2 linked regions of the Lonchura striata genome follow. The protein of the gene in region 1 interacts with the protein of each later gene in a pairwise test. Links are inferred from orthologs where the notes say so. Each region holds a gene or a part of one and is shown on either strand. Other genes may lie near its edges. The genes, in order: PLIN1 and ABHD5.

Region 1 (8,796 bases):
GTTTGACACCATCTGAGACAAAATTGTACATTATACAGGAGATAAATTTTACATTTTTCTTCATCAGAGTTAGGCCTGTGTGTTCTGCTGCTTCCTGTAAGAAGTCTTTGTTTAATCTGTCAAGGAGATGTGAACAGACTACTCTAACCTGGACCAATGTGATCTCTTATTATTTCTGATGCTATCTAAAACCAGAACATTAAAAGGTCTCCTCTACTAAAAGGCAAAGGATGTGGAATTAAGTAGGCAGGTGAGGCAGTGCTCCAATTTACCTGAAGTTGTGGTTGGGTTTGGAATTACTTCCAAGTTTGAATATTAAGTGATAGCCTGCCAATTAAGTGTTTGAAAAGAAAAAGGTTGCTGGGCAGGATAATTAAGTGTGTTTGAGGACCAGATGTGGCCTTCAGCAGCTCTTCTTTTTAATATAGAAATGAGTAGCACTAAAAGTAGAAGCATACTGGCAGTTCAGGCCAAAATGGAGCATTATGTTCAGGATATGTATTATAGGCTATATTCTAGGCTTCCTCTCCTTTATAATATTGTTTCTTTCTCCATTTGTCTTTCATCTCCTGGCAATGTGGAAGCCATGCCTGCCTTAGTCAGAGCTGATCATTATCCCAGTGTGCAGCAACTCCTGGAAGAAAGGAAAAGGAGTCTTCATCATCTGACAGTGGAGGTTTGACCAGCTTTTGTCTTCAGAATTCCATCTTATTGCTAAAAATGTGTTTTCAGTCCCACTCAGGGGAGCTCTTAGGTGCAAAATACTTCATAAAATATTTTCACTGGTTTGCCAACTGCTTTCTCTTTCTTACACTTTTCAGGGAAAACCATTGATACAGCCCAATCCCCACCTCCCTGTGCCCTGCAGGCAAACGCTGTACAAAGCCTTGAGCCAGGCATGGATGTTTCTCCCATAGGGTCTGGTGTGGATTACCTTGTACAGCCTTTTTGAGGGAAAAGGGGTGTGAGCTTTCAGCCTGTCTCAGCCCTACCTGCCATAGGCTGGAACACACAGGAGTACCTCTGCTGGATGTTAAGCACTAATATTTGCCTTCTGCTCCCCAGCTGGAGGCTGGTGATTTAAGGTACCTTAACGTAATGTGACTGAAGCCATAGGATTGTGATCATAGGGAGAAAATCCTTTTAGTGCCTTTTTTTGTACTCTTTTTCATACAGCAGTTGGAGTAAGAATAAGATGTTTGATTATAAGCAATAAACTGTGATAAGTGTGACACTGTGTCTGTGTATAACTTGGAAGGTGGTGTAAAGAGGTGCTGAAGGAGGAGGAATTCCTCCCATCTCTGAATTTTATGAAGGGTGACACTCTTAAAAAGACATTGTCTGTGGTTAGATTCTAGAGCTTTCCTTTTGCAGTAGCCAATTGGCAGCTAGATTTATCCAGCTAATTTGGAATCACAAATTCAGCTGCAAAAACATTAAGAAATACATGAGTATCACATGAAACTGCATCCTTAGAATGCCCTGAAACAAGGTTTTTGGGAATTGCCATCAGCTTCCTGTGAGTACCAGCAGGGAGGGCTGGAGCCTTATGGCCAGTGTAGGCACAGCTGGGTGAAAGGGACAGGAGAAGCTGCATTTCAGTGTCTTATAAACAGCTTTTCATTTGGATGGTGATAGTTTAGTGACAAATGCCAGTTCAGGGAGGGAACAAAAGGTAACATCTTGGGCAGAGGGGGCAAGGGATGGAGCCAGGATAACCATTAAACTGAGCTCACTGTTAGCTCCTACCCCCTGCAGGGAGAGTCTTGCAAACTTGGAAGCTCCAAAATGTCAGCTCCTGAGCAATGTATAAAGCATGGCATTCAGGAGTGCTTTAGCAAGAGTTTCCTTCTGGATTAGTGGCCTCATACACATTTTGTAATGGAAGTAGTATGAGAGGTTTTCTTCTCTTCTGCTTACAGACAAGGCCTTCCTAACATTAACACTGTGCTTGGCATGACATTTCAAGGAATATGTGAGCCATTGGGGATTCCCAGGTGAGCATCCAGAGCAGGCAAAGGTTAAAAACCAACATCTCCGGGGAGATACCAAATACACCCATTCTGTAGAGGCAGTGTGACTGGGGGAGGGTGTGAACAGTCTTCCAAGTGTCCCAAAGCTTTTCTGCCAAGAGCAAGGCAATAAATTTGCCTCCAAATCCTGGAGATATATTGCCACAAAGAATTAAAGCACACCTATTTTTTTAACTGAAAGTAAAATAAAAAATCTAAATAGCTTGCCTAGGAGGGCATCCTTAAAAAGAAACTGGGGACACATCTGCCAGCAGTGGTTATGGGGTTGCTGATCCTGAATGGAAATGAATTAGATACTTCTCCAGCCCCCTCCCAGACCAAAGTATGAAGGTGCCTTGCAGGCACATTTGTGGATCTGGCTCATCCCCTCACTGTGGAGTATTACTGAGTATGGAGCAGACTGCAGGGAAGTGACACTGCTTCCCTGTATCCTGTGTATCTGTGAGCTCTAAACATTGCCTGCAGGAGCACAGGAGTGTTTCTGGTGCAAGCTGGAGTGCTGGGGCAGGGAGGCCGTGGTACCTTTGCCCTGCAGAGCTGGGGCTGGCACAGCCTTTGCCCCAGAGGAAGGGGAGGGGATGAGCACAGGCATTAGTAGGGCAAAGGCTGTGTTGGCTCCTGACTCCAGACAAGGGGAAGAGGAGGTTGCTGTGCCCTCTGCACTTTTAGCCAGGGGGGCTGGAAAAAATCTCAGTTTGCCAAGAGAGCAAGCTTCCAAGCAGGCTGGTGCCCTTTATCCCTCTGTCTCAAGGGCAGTGACTGACCCCAGCACCAGCTGGAAGCAGCCCAGAACATTCATGTGCCTCTGTACCCAGCCAACAAGGCAGGCACAGCCCCGGGCTGGGAGCAAATGGGAAGGAATGGGAGTATTTTCTTTCCATCTCTGCTTTTCCCATGCCCCTGAGAAGCCTCCCACCCCCATGTAGGAGCAGTGCAGCCACAAGCAGAGAGCCACGGGGCTGTGTTGGATGCTCACCTGCATGTGCTGAATGGGAGTGCTGGGCAGCTGTGGGAATTGGGGGCCACATGCCAAGGGGCTCCCTGCCTCACCAGCTGATCCAGGACACACAGCAGCCCTGGACCTCTCATCTGCACTGATTTCCCTGATTATTGCCTTGTCCTCTGGCATTTGTCCTCTTTCCACCACACTGTCCTCGTCTCATCAGTGTGGCTTGTCTGTAGTCAATAACCAAAACTTGGCATGGTCCCATACAGGTGGTGTGGTCTTCTTTTCAGTCAGTACCACAAATGGGTTTGCTAACAATGGTGTGAGTCCTCAGTGTGCCTCCTGTGCATTCAGGCCATGGAAGATCAGCATTTTAGTGAGAGCACTGCTGGTTGGTCAAGGAGAGCAGTTGTTCCTCTACAAAGCATTTGTGAATTTGGGGAACCACCTCTTGTTTTAGTCCCACCATCACAAGAGACGTCTTGAATAGTCTTTCAGAAGATCACTGAGAGAGTAAGGCATTCAGGGGCATGGAACACAGGCTGCACCAGCACAAAGTGGGGCAAAAACTCTGCTCAGAAGTGCACAAAGCAAAGATAGGAGATGTCAGGTACAACAAAGAAAATTCCAGCTGGACATTAGAAAAAATATTTTAACCATTAGTATGGTTAGCACAGGAACTGGGAAATCCCCTCACTGGAAGTTTTTAAGACTGGACAAGACCTAGAGCAGCCTGATCTGGCTTTCAGGGTAGCCTTGCTTTGAGCAAGAGTTGAACGAGGTGATCTTCAGAGATCAGTTCTAAACTGATCTTTTTCTCCATCTACCCCAAATGCCTAAAACTTTCCTAATGAAGTGTCTGCCCTGACCCTCAGCTACAGCCTCCTCACCAAAAGTCTCATGAATCATCTTAGAAATTGCAGACCTGGCCAAACCAGATTGCTTCAAGTAGAATATGTTCCCCACATCTCCCTTCTGCTCCTTGTGCTTAGTAAACTCTCCTGGGGAGGAACCACATTCTTGTTCTATGTTAGGTTTCCCAGCAGGATCGTACCCTAGTCCACCGTGAGGCACAGGAGGGCTTACAGAAATACAGGAGGGTTTTAATCTCTTAGGAAACCCTGACTATTCACCTTCTCCCTGTCTGCTCATGATCTGTTGCTTTCGAGCTGGTGAGGTCCCAGGGCAGCTTCTTCTCATCTTCTGTGGAAGGAGTGAGAAGCCACCCCAAAATGTTTCAGCCATGCTGCGGCTTCTGGACTGTGCAGGGAAGGCGACCAAGGGGATTTTCTGCCATCATCTGTTCCCAATTACGGTGGTTTCAGGGAGCTCCTTGGCCCATTTCCACCACAATCCATCAGCTCCCGAGCCCACGCAACTGGGAGGTGGGGCCTCGTGGTGGTGGTAGTGGCCAGAGCACGACACATCACCCTCACAGGACCAGGGTGAAGGCACAGTGCAGACACCACTCTCTGCCCCTGCTCTGCTGGGAACGGGCTGGCCCTTGGTGAGTAGTCTGTGCCCACTGGGTGCTCCGGGACAGCTTCACTGGGACCAGGGAGTGAGAGCAGGGATCACCCATTCTCTCTAGATTTCCAGAATTTCATCTGCTGCTAAGAAAAAGGGGACTGTGTTGGGGCTGGAGCTGAGTTTTCATCAGGATGAGTGCTGGCATTATGAGCAGCAGATATGTATGAGGGAGATGCTGACCTCAGCTGGATATCTCACCATATCCCTACCCATTGCTTTTCTATCTGCTCCTGTCCTGCCTTCTTACCCCTTCTCAGGCAGAGTCCACTCTCATGCACATCTGTTAGCATCCTGGTTGCTCTGAGTTTGCTTTGCCAGCATACTTTACCCTGCCCTTACCATAACTTCCCTAAACTACATGCTTCTGAATGAATTTTTTCATATCTTTGGGTGTTAAGGCACACAGGCAGGGCAGGGCTGCACGGAGGCTTTGGTTATACAGCTTAACTGGTAAAAAGTCAAGTGTTGGGCAATGCCACGTCCATTGCACCCACGGGAGGTGTGTGTCAGCCCAGCTGCTGTGCTTGGGGGTGCAGGAGTGATGGGGAGCCCAAGCCCAGCCCTGCTTTCAGGCAGAGTCTGCGGTTCCCAACTTTGCTTTGCAGGTGGATGCGCCACAATGACGGTGAAGAAGACTCAGGCTCTGCAGGATGGAAGTGCCAAGGTGGGTGCAGGAAAAGGGAGAGAGAAAAGGGTAGAGATGTGCCAAGGGGGCCAGGTAGTGTGTGTTGACTGTGCTGGATGAATATCAGCCACACCTCACACTGTCTCACCTGTTCCCATATTCTCTTTATATGATCTTTACCTGCAGTAGTATGGAGCATCATCAAAGGGAAAGAACAAACCTTTTTGCGTACTTGAAATTAAATAGTTCAGATTCAAAAAGGTACCCTTGAGCTGATGAAAGTACTAAGTGATAGCTGCCAACTGAGCCTGTCCTTCATCTGTGCCCCATTTAGTTCCCAGACCTCCAGCAGTCATGGAGGTTTCCACAGGGTGGAAGGCCAGAGGGAGCACCTAAACAGCTGGATTAGGATATTGGAGGAGTGGAGACCGATGCCTGTGGTGTCCCTGCTCCCTCAGTGGCAGCCAGCCTGCTTGTCCTTACTCAGCATACTTGGGAGACCCTCAGTGGGGCTAGAGAAACAGCCCCTTCCTCTTCCTGTGCAAGCCGAGGTCACTGCAACCCTCCAAGAGCCGCTGGCTGTGGGCAGTGGGGCATTCCTGGGGGAAGAGCTGTTTCTGACCCACGTCCGTGCACCATGCACAGGAGAACGTGCTGCAGAGGGTGCTGCAGCTGCCCGTGGTGAGCTCGACGTGCGAGACGCTGCAGCGCAAGTACAGCAGCACCAAGGAGTCCCACCCGCTGATGGCCTCGGTGTGCGAGGTGTACGAGCGGGGCGTGCAGGGCGCCGGCGCCCTGGCCATGTGGGGCATGGAGCCCGTGGTGCGCCGGCTGGAGCCGCAGTGTGAGTCCGTGTGCCGGGGGGACGTGGCAGGGGGGCCTGGCAGAGCATCCCTGGGGGGACAGCGCTGGCACAAGCACGCGCTGGCACGGCCCAGGCGCTCTTCTTACCGCGCTCTTGCCCACGGCAGTCGCTGTGGCCAACAACCTGGCTTGCCGGGGCTTGGACCACCTAGAGGAGAAGATCCCTGCTCTGCAGTACCCTGTTGACAAGGTAAGTCACAGGCAGGACAATCTGGGACACCCCCCCCCCCCCCCCCAGTACATCTCCTCTAGTCTTGTTTCTGCATGGCTGGGAAACAAGGCAGCATCTCCCAGTGAGGGCTCCTCCAAGGGCCTCTGCAGGCTAAACGATGGCTGGGGCTCCCAAATATAAGTCAGCAGTGTCGTGTGTCCCATCCCTGACAGCTGCCTCCAGCCCAAGTTGGAGAGAGCTGTCATGCCCCTCTTGGAGCTGTTAACTGGCATGGCTGGGGTCCCTGCGGTCCCTCTGTCTGTCCTATGCCACCCCAAGCACACCAGAGGGGCTGTTCTCCATCTCCCTGCCCACAGCTCGCATCTGAACTGAAGGACACCATCTCCTGCCCCCTCCAAAGTGCCAAAAGCACCATTGGCAGCTCCATGGATAAGATCATAGAGCTGGCAGCGGAGGGCTATGAGGCCACCAAGAACACGGTGGAAACGACAGCCAAGTACACAAGGAAGAACTCAGTGACCCAGATGGCAGCTGCAGGGGTCGACACAGCCCTGGGAGGGCTGGAGAAGCTGATGGAATACCTGCTGCCAGAGGAGGATGAAGAAGCAGGTAGTCCTGATGCCCCAAATTCCCTCTGAGGGAATCTGGAGACAACTGGCTGGGTGGCTCCTCAGTTGTAGGGTGCATGGGGCAGGAGGCAGCTCCTGGATTTTGGCATAAGGCTGCCTAGGAGGGTTGTCTCACCAGAATGTAACCTTCCCACCATTCTTCTACCTTTAGATAAGAAGCCCAAAAAGAAACGTCTGTCAACATCAAAGGTGTCCCAGCAGCAGCCCAGCACTACCACCACTCCCTGCACTCCCAGTTCTCCCAGTGCTACCAGGGCTCCCAGTGCTTACAGCACTGCCAGGGCTCCCAGTGCTCCCAGGGCATCCAGCACACCCAGCACTCCCAGCACTCCCAGTGCTCCCAGTGCTCCCAGTGCTCCCAGCACCCTGGGCCGGATTGGCGCTTTGGTCAGCACCGTGTCCCACCGAGCTTACCAGCAAACCACCCAAAGCCTCCAGCGTGCCAAAACCAAAGGGCAGGAGCTGGCCTCCTGGATACCCATCCTGGTGAGTGCCAGAACCCAACTGCTGGGTTCCTGCTCCCCCATATCCTCTTTTGAGCTGATTTTGCTTTCAGAATGGACATTTCAGGCTCCTTGGAGCAAATCTGAGCAGAGTTCACTTCCCCTGCTCAGCAGGACAAGTTGGGCCTGGCGGTTCCTGCGTGATGTTCACACATAACCATGTACCACAATAGTGGGACAAGTTATTTTTAGCAGCTTCCCAGCATGTAATTGTTGATTTATGGCCTTGCCATAACATCCTTCCTAAAGCAAAAAGCCCCTGCAGAGACCCAGAGGGGATGGGGAGAAGGAGGTACTTTTCCTACCCTGTGCTGCAGTGGGAACAACTTCCCTGACCTGTGCCAAAATCCCAGAGCTCCCATCTGCCCTCAGGATTTCTCCCCAGATGCACAAATGAACTCCCTGCTCCCTGTGCACCCCCGTGAAATCCAGGCTAAACAGGAGGGAGTGGATGGGACCAGCCAGCTCCCTCTGAGCGGTGGCGTTTCGCTCCCCTTCCAGGGAAGCCTGGCCAAGCCGAGCGCCCCTGCGGCCCCTCAGGCCCGCAGTGATGGGCAGGGCAGTGCAGGATGGCTGACCCGGCGCCAGAGCAAGGCACCGGAGCAGAAGCAGGAGAAGGCAGGGAAGAAAGACACCAACCACACCAAGGTATGGAGAAAAGCAGAGCAGTGAGCTAGCAATGCTCCAAAGCATCCTCCTACCCATGGACCATGGGGGCTGTTTCCCCATACCTTTGGGGACTAAGCCCCTAGCCCTGCTCAATTCTGAAATGCAGCTCAGAGAATGCAAGAGTGGGTTGGCAGCCCCAGGAGTCCCCTTCCCTTTCCCCAGAGCTGGGAGCTGTGGGCAGCCTCTGTGCCAGGCAAAATCACCCTGGCTTGTAGGTTCAAAACTCCTTTGGAGGTGTGGGATGTCAGCACTGAACTCCCTATTGATCCCCTGAACACCCCTGAGAAATCCCCCACTGTGGTCCCAGCAGGGAGGGGTGGTGTGACCGGTGGGGCTGGGAACAGGCTCCTGCATGGCTCCGCTGGGACCTGGGGACGGGAAGCAGCAGGTTGGGGTCGGAGCCCTTTGCCTCTGACTGCAGCGGAAGCACAGCCTGGAGCAGAGGGTCCCCCGGGGCCTGGAGTGGGGGGAGCTGGCACCGACCCTGCTGCAAAGAGCTGTGCTGGCTTTTGCAGAGCAGCGAGCTGAAATCTCTCAGGCTAAGAGCTGCAGAGGGGATAGGGAAAGCAGGACCACCCCTGTCCTGCCTGGAGGCTGGGCAGCTCCAGGAGCTGAGCTGGTTTCTCTGGGCAGGAGGGACAGGACCCCGGGCTCGTGGGCAGCGTGGCTCACAACCTGCAAACCGCCTACGCCTCGGGCATCTCCAGCGTGAAGAAGGTCCCAGCCGTGGCCTGGGATGCGGCAGAGGGCTTGATCCTCTTCACCCCCCGCAGGCTGTCCAGGGCCATGGAGACAGTGGATGCTCTCGGGGGGACCCTGGTCAGT
Region 2 (8,202 bases), on another chromosome or scaffold:
CTTTCTGGCTGTAATCAAAACTAGAATAGCTTTACTGTTCTGTGCAGACTTCAAAAAATCTGGAAGGCTCAGTTGTCTCCAGCCTTGTGTTCATGTATGTATTGACAGGTGAGGGAGAGAAAAAAAGAAGGTTGTGGCACAAGGACACTGCTTAAATTACACGCCCTGTCTCATGTAGCAAATGTCTCATCGGCATGGGTTCTTCACAGGGACCATGTATGACCCAGACAGACACAGTCACAGCACCTTTTCACCCACCTGAAAACATGAGATCTTGTCTCTCTCCAGCCACTCCTGTGTCTAGGAGGGAATTTTAGGTTAGTCACATGTGAGTAATGAACTCTGGAATAGCCAAGCATGACAAGATGGAAGTTCTGCCTAGCAACACGGCCTGTCACAGCCTCAGCTGCTGAATATACTGATATATTAATAATATGTATCTAGGCCCCCTCTTTGCAGTTCACTCACTCCTTGAACTCCTTGAAATTTCTCTTAGCCTTCTTGTAGCTGACTCTTGCACACAGTTACTCAACTTTCTACTGCAACTGCCATGGGCACGTTTTCAAAATGTTGCCTCTGGGGCAGATAGAGGCTATGAATGCAAACCCACTCTGAGACGGTGTGAACAGCAGCTCAGTCAGGACTGCTCTGTTCTTTACTCCCATCACATGATCATGGTGAAGAACCCAGCAAAACTTTTCTTACAATTCTCTTCAACTATACATCTTTTGTTCAAGTGCCAAAATTCACAGAGACTCTGGTTTGCCCCAAACATTCTGTCCAGGACTGTCCCCTTACAGTCGTGGCCACCGTGTCATTGATTTTCCAGTTCATGGACAGCCTGCTCCCACAGTGGGATCAGATATGAGTCCTGGAAGGAGCACAAGAAAGGTTGCCCTCCTGCACAGCAAGGGTGTGAAAGGACAAGAGGCTTAGACTGCTTTCCCATGCAGGGCAGGCCTTGGGAACAAGGAACATATTGAAGCATTAGCCTTGCTTCAAGGAGGGCCTCCCATGTCACCAAAATCCCCCACAGCTTCCAGGAGTTTGGGAATCTGTACAAATAGCCTCCTTATGCTCGCCATAGGCAGACATGTTGATTGGAAGATGTTGGCAAAGTGAATGTGGAGGAGGATCTACTGATCTCCATCAGCATTTGAATGATTCTTGGTCAACCTATACTCATTTAAAACTCTGCCTTATACCCACGTATGTCTAGGAAACAGGCTAACATGGAACAGACACACTAGGAACACAACAAGCATGTTGCCACTGGTCTCAAACTGCCACTCCAGTTTGGAGGGGAGCATGGAGACAGAGTCCACAAAGCAGTATGACAGATCTGCTGCCCAGGGATGCCATGGCCCTGTAGACAACTGGCATCTGACAGGGCCCAACAGTATGGGTCTCCAGACTCCACTGAAAACTGACATAGTTAGGACTTTTTGTTTCTTCAGTGACTTAGCCAAGACATAAACATCCTGCTGGCATAGTACTGAGGTCCAGAACCAGGCAGAAGCAGCTCAATTAATGCCAGGATTCTTCCCACACCTCAGTAAAAAAAAGAGGTCTCCCCAGAGAAACACAGACAACAGGACTCTGGGCAGAGTTCCTTATTTACATCTTCAGTGTTCCAGTGCTATTTGGGCTTCTGCTTAGGCTTAGGCACAGCTAACTCCAACTCCTGCACCTCCAGTTCCTGAGGCAGCTGACAAACAGCCTTCTCTCCTGAAGGAGCACAGCAGAGGAAGTCAGACCTCCAGTGACAGCGATGCATGGACAGAACATCCCAGAAGCATACTACAACAGCTCCAAGGTCCTCTTGCCATCACAAACAGGTTCATTTACAGAAACCAATCCATTTTATTCTGCTTTCTCTCTGCTATTCTGAGGCCTTACAAAATGTCAAAATAAGAGCAAATTACCTTATTTTCATATAAACATGTTTAAACAGTCCTAGTCTGTAATACTTGGCCAAGTCAAGCCCCTCTGCAGTTTGTTGACTGCAGAAGAGTCAGACTGATTTTAGCAAGCTGCAAACTGCACCTGATGCAGTTTGGAGAAGTAGCTTACTCACAGGTAACATACCACTTATTAAATAGAATGGTATTAAACTAATTCAATAATGAGGGCCAGATACAAGTCCCACTAAGCATCAATGCAGAAAAGTGAGAGCTTAAACAATAACAGGAACCATTCCCTTTGAGACATTTTCAGTGTCCAGAAATTTTTCTGAAATACAAAAATGGAAAAATTCATCTGAACTATTTGCCGCTCATTATATTTCAGCTGTCCTTCATTGATTTACACTCCACTGCAACATTAGCCAACTGACGCACAACTCTCTTCTACCAGCATTATCACAGTCATTTCTTCATGCACAGAAATACTGATTTATTTACATAATCAAATCAGCTCTAAGAAACTGAGTCATTTCCCAGTAAAAGAAAGAAGGACTGCTAAGTGGGAGCAAGCTGCTTGTACAATTACACTCTTAAACAAGCGTAACCCATTAGTGTTCAGGTGAGCACCACTGAATTAAAATCACAGAGATAATTGTGTCTGAACACTTGCATGTTCCACGAGTAGGATGTAAATCTCATTTATGAGGTTTTAAATTTACTATTCCATTGGAATTATAAAGAAATAAAATCATCGCATTCAGAGCTGTTGCTTCAGGCTGTTTGCAAATTCTAGTGACCATCTTTACAAACCTTTGCCAGCGATCGTATAGTTCTACACACACTGATAGTCACTTTTCTCGCAAATAAAATTTTTCAGAGCAATAATAAAAATAAATACACTCTCCTGAGGAAAATATCAGGATTGCCAAACCATTGTGACACAGCCAAACAAACTTTAGCTGAGATTGTGTAATCTCAACAATCACTGTTGTCAAATTGCAGAATGGTTTTAGCTGAGAATTATTTCAGCTATTACCAAATTCACCTTATACTTTTCATCAAAATATTTCAAAGACCAAAAGAAACAGTAATCATCATTCCATTTGTTTTTCTAAAAACAGCTTTAGAGCTCAGTGACAAAATTCAGAAGAAACACAAGACTTAAAATCTTCTTGCCACTTCCTCCTTTTGCTGCACTTTGCTGCTTTGTTTCAGTTAAGGTTTGTTGATTGCCCAATACAAATGCAGTTCTTATGCAGCTGAACAATAACACAACCAATATTATGAGGCCAAATGCTGTCTAAAACAAGAACACTCCAGCATTCTCCTCCCCATAGGCACGGCTGCACTTGAGTCTATCAAAACACTTGAAAATGACAATCGCAATAGGTATTCTACTTGGAATCGTCTTAGGGACTGTTAATACTTAAGTTGCATCCAGAACTCCTCATTTGCTTCTTATAAATGTAATACACATTACATCTATATGTAATGTAAAAACAAACATTACAACCTGGAACACCTAGTACTGGCTAGCCCTGCTGCCCTTTTTGCAGGCCTTGCTGAGCGAATTGCCAAGGATATGTCTGTGGGAGAGCTGACGCTTTAGTTTGGGTTGTGCTCCCTCTCCTGCTTTACCTGTCAGCTATGTGCTGGCACGGGGGCTTTGCCACCTCTCCAGTGCCGCTGCCCGGTGTTGTGTCCCCTCTGTACGCCACTCGGTGGGAAAGCAGTGGGGTAGATATGCACAGTATGCCAGTGTGTGCGGTGTACGCAGTTATGTCAGGACCGTGTGCAGTGAGCACAGCACAGGCTACACCCCCATGCACCGTGCGCCCCTCTGCGCGCCCGGGAAGCCGCGGCCCTTCTGCCACGGGCGTCATCTGTGCCGCCATCCCGGGAGCAGGAGCCAACCGACGGGAGCCTTGCTCCAGCCATGCCGCTGGCGGGCGCCTGGGGAGCGCCCGGGGCCCGCTCCGTTTGCGGGGCTCCGCGCCCAGAGCCCAGCGCCCGCTCCGTTTGCGGGGCTCCGCGCCCAGCGCCCGCTCCGTTCGCGGGGCACCGCGCCCAGCGCCCGCTCCGTTCGCGGGGCTCCGCGCCCAGCGCCCGCTCCGTTCGCGGGGCTCCGCGCCCGGGGCCCGCTCCGTTTGCGGGGCTCCGCGCCCAGCGCCCGGGGCCCGCTCCGTTTGCGGGGCACCGCGCCCAGCGCCCGCTCCGTTTGCGGGGCTCCGCGCCCAGCGCCCGCTCCGTTTGCGGGGCACCGCGCCCAGCGCCCGCTCCGTTTGCGGGGCACCGCGCCCAGCGCCCGCTCCGTTTGCGGGGCACCGCGCCCAGAGCCCGCTCCGTTTGCGGGGCACCGCGCCCAGCGCCCGGGGCCCGCTCCGTTCGCGGGGCTCCGCGCCCGGCGCCCGCTCCGTTTGCGGGGCTCCGCGCCCAGCGCCCAGCGCCCGCTCCGTTTGCGGGGCTCCGCGCCCAGCGCCCGCTCCGTTCGCGGGGCACCGCGCTCACGCCCGCTCACGCCCGCTCACGCCCGCGGCGCTCCGGGCGGCGCTCGGGGCAGTGGGTGGCCCCGCGGGCATGACGCAGGCGGCGGGCGGGCAGGAGGGAGGGAGTAAGAGAGGGAGGAGCCCGTGATGGCCGGTGCCGGCGCCGTCGCGCTGTCCCTCGCTTTGCTGCCGGCCGCCGCCACCGCCGCCCCTCCGCCGCTGTCAGCTGCCGACCACCGCGCCGCCGCCATGGCCGAGGAGGAGGCTCCTAGCGAAGGGTGAGTGGAGCGGCCGCGGGGTAACCCCTGTCCTCCCCGCGGCTGGCCAGACGGCGGCAGGAAGCCTTTCGGGGCGCCCGGGCCGTGCCGTGCCGCGGGTGCTGCTCGCCCGTCTGCCCGCGGCCCTGGCGGCGGGGCCGGGCGGGCTCCCGGCTCCCCGAGCGGCCGCGGGGCTCCCGCTCCGCTCCGGCCCTGCCGCGCTCCGGCACCGCCGCTCGGGCGCTCCGCGGAGCGTGGCGCACCGCCTGCCATGTTTTCCTGCCGCACCGCCCGCCTTCCTGCCATGGCTTCCCGCCTCCTGGCACGGGCGGGCTCCCGGCGGGGTGTGCCGCCGGCTCCCTGCAAGCCCCGTGTCCCCCCGCTGCTTCCCCTTCTGCACTGCAGCTCTGTTGTGGCCGGCCGGCTGTTGTCATTACACACCTGCCTGCAGGCGTGTCCCTGCGCCTTTTCTGCCGCTTTGCTTTGGCGTGTGTGCGCACTCCGACTGTCAGCCACCCTTGCCTTGCGCCCTAGAGGTCACACGGCTGTATACAGTGCTGGCCCATGCTCCTTGTGCCTCTGCGGCTTCATGCCTGCATACAGATACCCCATCTTCCCGTTCCATCCATGCTCTATTTTCGTTTTGACAGTACACTTGTGTCATCATTTTATACTTTATATAAGTAGGAGATGAGAGCACATCTATAAATTACAAGCATACACTGTTGGACTAACTTTTCTGGTACTATGTGCTTTGCCTGCTAACCTTTTATTTCCTTTCACTGTGCCAAGGCATTCACATCTACTGAAATAACTCCTATGGCATAAGTTATCCTGACCCTGTTCTTAACATGTATCTCTAATAATTGTTTGTAACCACTTCCACCCTTGATATATGACTTTGTTATAGCTAATAATCATTCTTCTGCCTGCAACTACATAGTTCCTCACTATGTCTTTTGTGTGTGTACGTTCAAATGGTTGTATACCAGTTACTAATCAATGGTATTTTCTTCAATTCACATTTTCTTTACTCAAGTATTTCTTCTTAGCGCATGCTTTATTTCTTGTTACACTTAAACTTCCATTGCAGATCCCTTTTTATACCCTTTCATTGCCCCCAAATATGTTGTCTGCCCCTGTAGAATAATACAGTCATCCTATATCTGAGTTGTTTACCAAATGTACTTAATGTATTTGCTGGTCACTTATCTCACAGTTTGTTCCATCATATTTTATGGTTCTAATCCAAACAGTGCTCTATCAGAATATACTAGCTCTACTTTAGTCATACATATGCTTTATTCCTTCTGTCAGATGTGTAAATATGCTTTATATGTATTGTTTACTTTAAGTTTTCCTCTTTCTCTATGCTCTAAATATTAGGTGGTATGTCCCATTACTGATTGCCTAGTCCTCAAAAACTAATTTCTTGCCTATTCTTCTACATCTCCCTTCTTGCATAACTAAGTCTTTCGTTATTTTGAGAAATCAGACTTAAAATTCTTCAGCTATTTGCATGAAAATCATCCCATGCATTCATGACTTATTAATTAAATGTATTGCCATTTGCATGTTGTCATGTTATGTGTCTGTTTTGTTATCTTTCAAAACTACCCCCATCCTCAGTCTTGTTCCTTTTTTAGTCCTTTTTCCAACTTGGGATTTTGGCATTTCATCTTACATATTTTCCTGCTCTGTCAGCTCAATCCGACCAGATCTGAACTATCCATCTTTTCCAAATGCCCTGTTATGCCATTATCACCATATATATACAGCATTCTTATTTCAAATGCAAACTCCAAAAGCTTCCCTTTCAAAGCACTATGCAATTTTGTCTACTCTGTAACTCTGCACTCTCCTCCTTTCCTCAAACTTGAAATAGCTTCCCAAAATTTTCACCTCCGCAGAACCTCTGCAACATTACCCACTTGAAGCTACAAGTGAAACCCTTTTTGGTTCTGTGTTCTTTCTGACCCCTTCAGTCTTAAATACAAGTAGTTTGTAAAGCTTCTTGTTGCTGGTTTACAGGTTTTCTAAGTACAAATCTTAAAATAGCTCTGGCTCAGCCTGTTTTGTTTGTGTGTTCATTCAGCGCATTAGCCTGAACTGCAGTAGCTGTCTGCTTTGATCACACAGAGTGCTGAGTGCAGCTGAGACGATGCCAAGCACTCTCAACTTGAGTTGCCTTTCAGGATTGCAGGATCGTGACACTCGTTGATAGGGTTAGGCTGAATTTTCAAGAGGATTACTGCAAGTTTCTCGTGTGGTTTACACAGCTGAGTGGCTTTTAAGGGGTGTTGGTTTTCAGAACTTCTGAACAATTAGATGTTGATGTGGTATTTTTCAGAGTAAGCCTCCCAATTCACTAAAGACTCCTAAAAACAAAATATCATCAGTCTTTTCCATGAATTAAAAAAGTGCATTTGTGTTGAAACGTTAGTGTTATTATTGGTCAGTTTCTAGTAATAATTAAAATTAGTATTTGTTCATGTTTTGAAGTCAAGCAATGCTCAGTACCCAGGGGAGGTTTATAAACAAGAGAAATATGTTAAATGATTTTTCATTTAGAATTCTGTGGCAGTGATAGGAAGTTACAATATACTATCAAACCCCTAGATTAAATTACTAGTGACAGGTGCACGCAAAGAATAAATGCAAAGTTTTATCTGCTTTGAAAACAATAGTGTGACTCAACTTGTTATGCAACACACTTGCTTTGTTGCAATTTGGTAACTGTGCAAAGCATGGTGAAAACAGAATAATAGTGGTTCAGTTACTTTCTGGAAGATCTCAGCTGAAAATTTATTCATGAAAACTTTTCATGGCCCTGTCCTAACTTTGAATTAGAAGATTAACTAAACAAATGTTTTAGTAGTCACAGTGCCAGCGATTGCTTGGTTAACATGTCACCTGCTAGTGATTTCCAAACCTGTTTACAGCCTTGGACCTCCTCTGTGTAGGTTTTAGATGGAGACTTCTGCTTTTGAGGCTGACAGCCTGGTGAGAGCCTTTTGCCAGTATCGAATCACTTATTCACAGTGGATGCAGCAAGACGGCTTATGGCTTGTAATATAGCTAGGATGAACAGCTACTAAATGTATGTATACATACAGAAAAAGGGTCCTAAACTGCAATACTGGGGATTTTTTTTTCTGCCTTTGAGAAAAGTGGAATGGTTTTCTTTAAAACAAAACTTTAAGTGATCTGCAGTTACAAGCCCACATCAAATTGCTTGTAAGTGGCCTTTAGTCTCACAAAATAGTGGCTTGAAGTAAAGGTAAAGACATACACTAACACCAGTGTTCACAGTTATTTTTGTGTTATCCTTCAAGCTTGTTAGTATTACAGAACTCAATTTTGAAGTGAGCTGTTTGATTAATAAAAGTGGAATAGTTTATTAGGCTTGATAGAGCCTGTGTCGTCTCCTTGGTAGGATGGTTCACAGTGTTACAGCATGAATGGACACTCAACTCAGAATTTTTGCCTGAATTTTTTGCTGGTTACATGATCTAGGTTTTAAAGCAAACTGAGTGGGTAGGCTGCTGAAAACAG

The links.
Region 2: the proteins of PLIN1 (region 1) and ABHD5 interact in a protein complementation assay, tested with the Homo sapiens proteins (3 studies listed by BioGRID, with this or other methods). The link is inferred for Lonchura striata from reciprocal best matches to the Homo sapiens genes PLIN1 and ABHD5.

What each region holds. Positions count from the first base shown.
Region 1 is NC_134613.1:16,652,910-16,661,705, forward strand, and holds the start of PLIN1 (perilipin-1), read left to right. Parts: upstream 1-5,007; 5' UTR 5,008-5,050; coding exon 5,051-5,173; intron 5,174-5,779; coding exon 5,780-5,978; intron 5,979-6,105; coding exon 6,106-6,188; intron 6,189-6,526; coding exon 6,527-6,779; intron 6,780-6,950; coding exon 6,951-7,285; intron 7,286-7,803; coding exon 7,804-7,950; intron 7,951-8,604; coding exon 8,605-8,796. UniProt on the Homo sapiens protein: Modulator of adipocyte lipid metabolism. Coats lipid storage droplets to protect them from breakdown by hormone-sensitive lipase (HSL). Its absence may result in leanness. Plays a role in unilocular lipid droplet formation by activating CIDEC.
Region 2 is NC_134603.1:115,045,629-115,053,830, forward strand, and holds the start of ABHD5 (1-acylglycerol-3-phosphate O-acyltransferase ABHD5), read left to right. Parts: upstream 1-4,507; 5' UTR 4,508-4,537; coding exon 4,538-4,668; intron 4,669-8,202. UniProt on the Homo sapiens protein: Coenzyme A-dependent lysophosphatidic acid acyltransferase that catalyzes the transfer of an acyl group on a lysophosphatidic acid.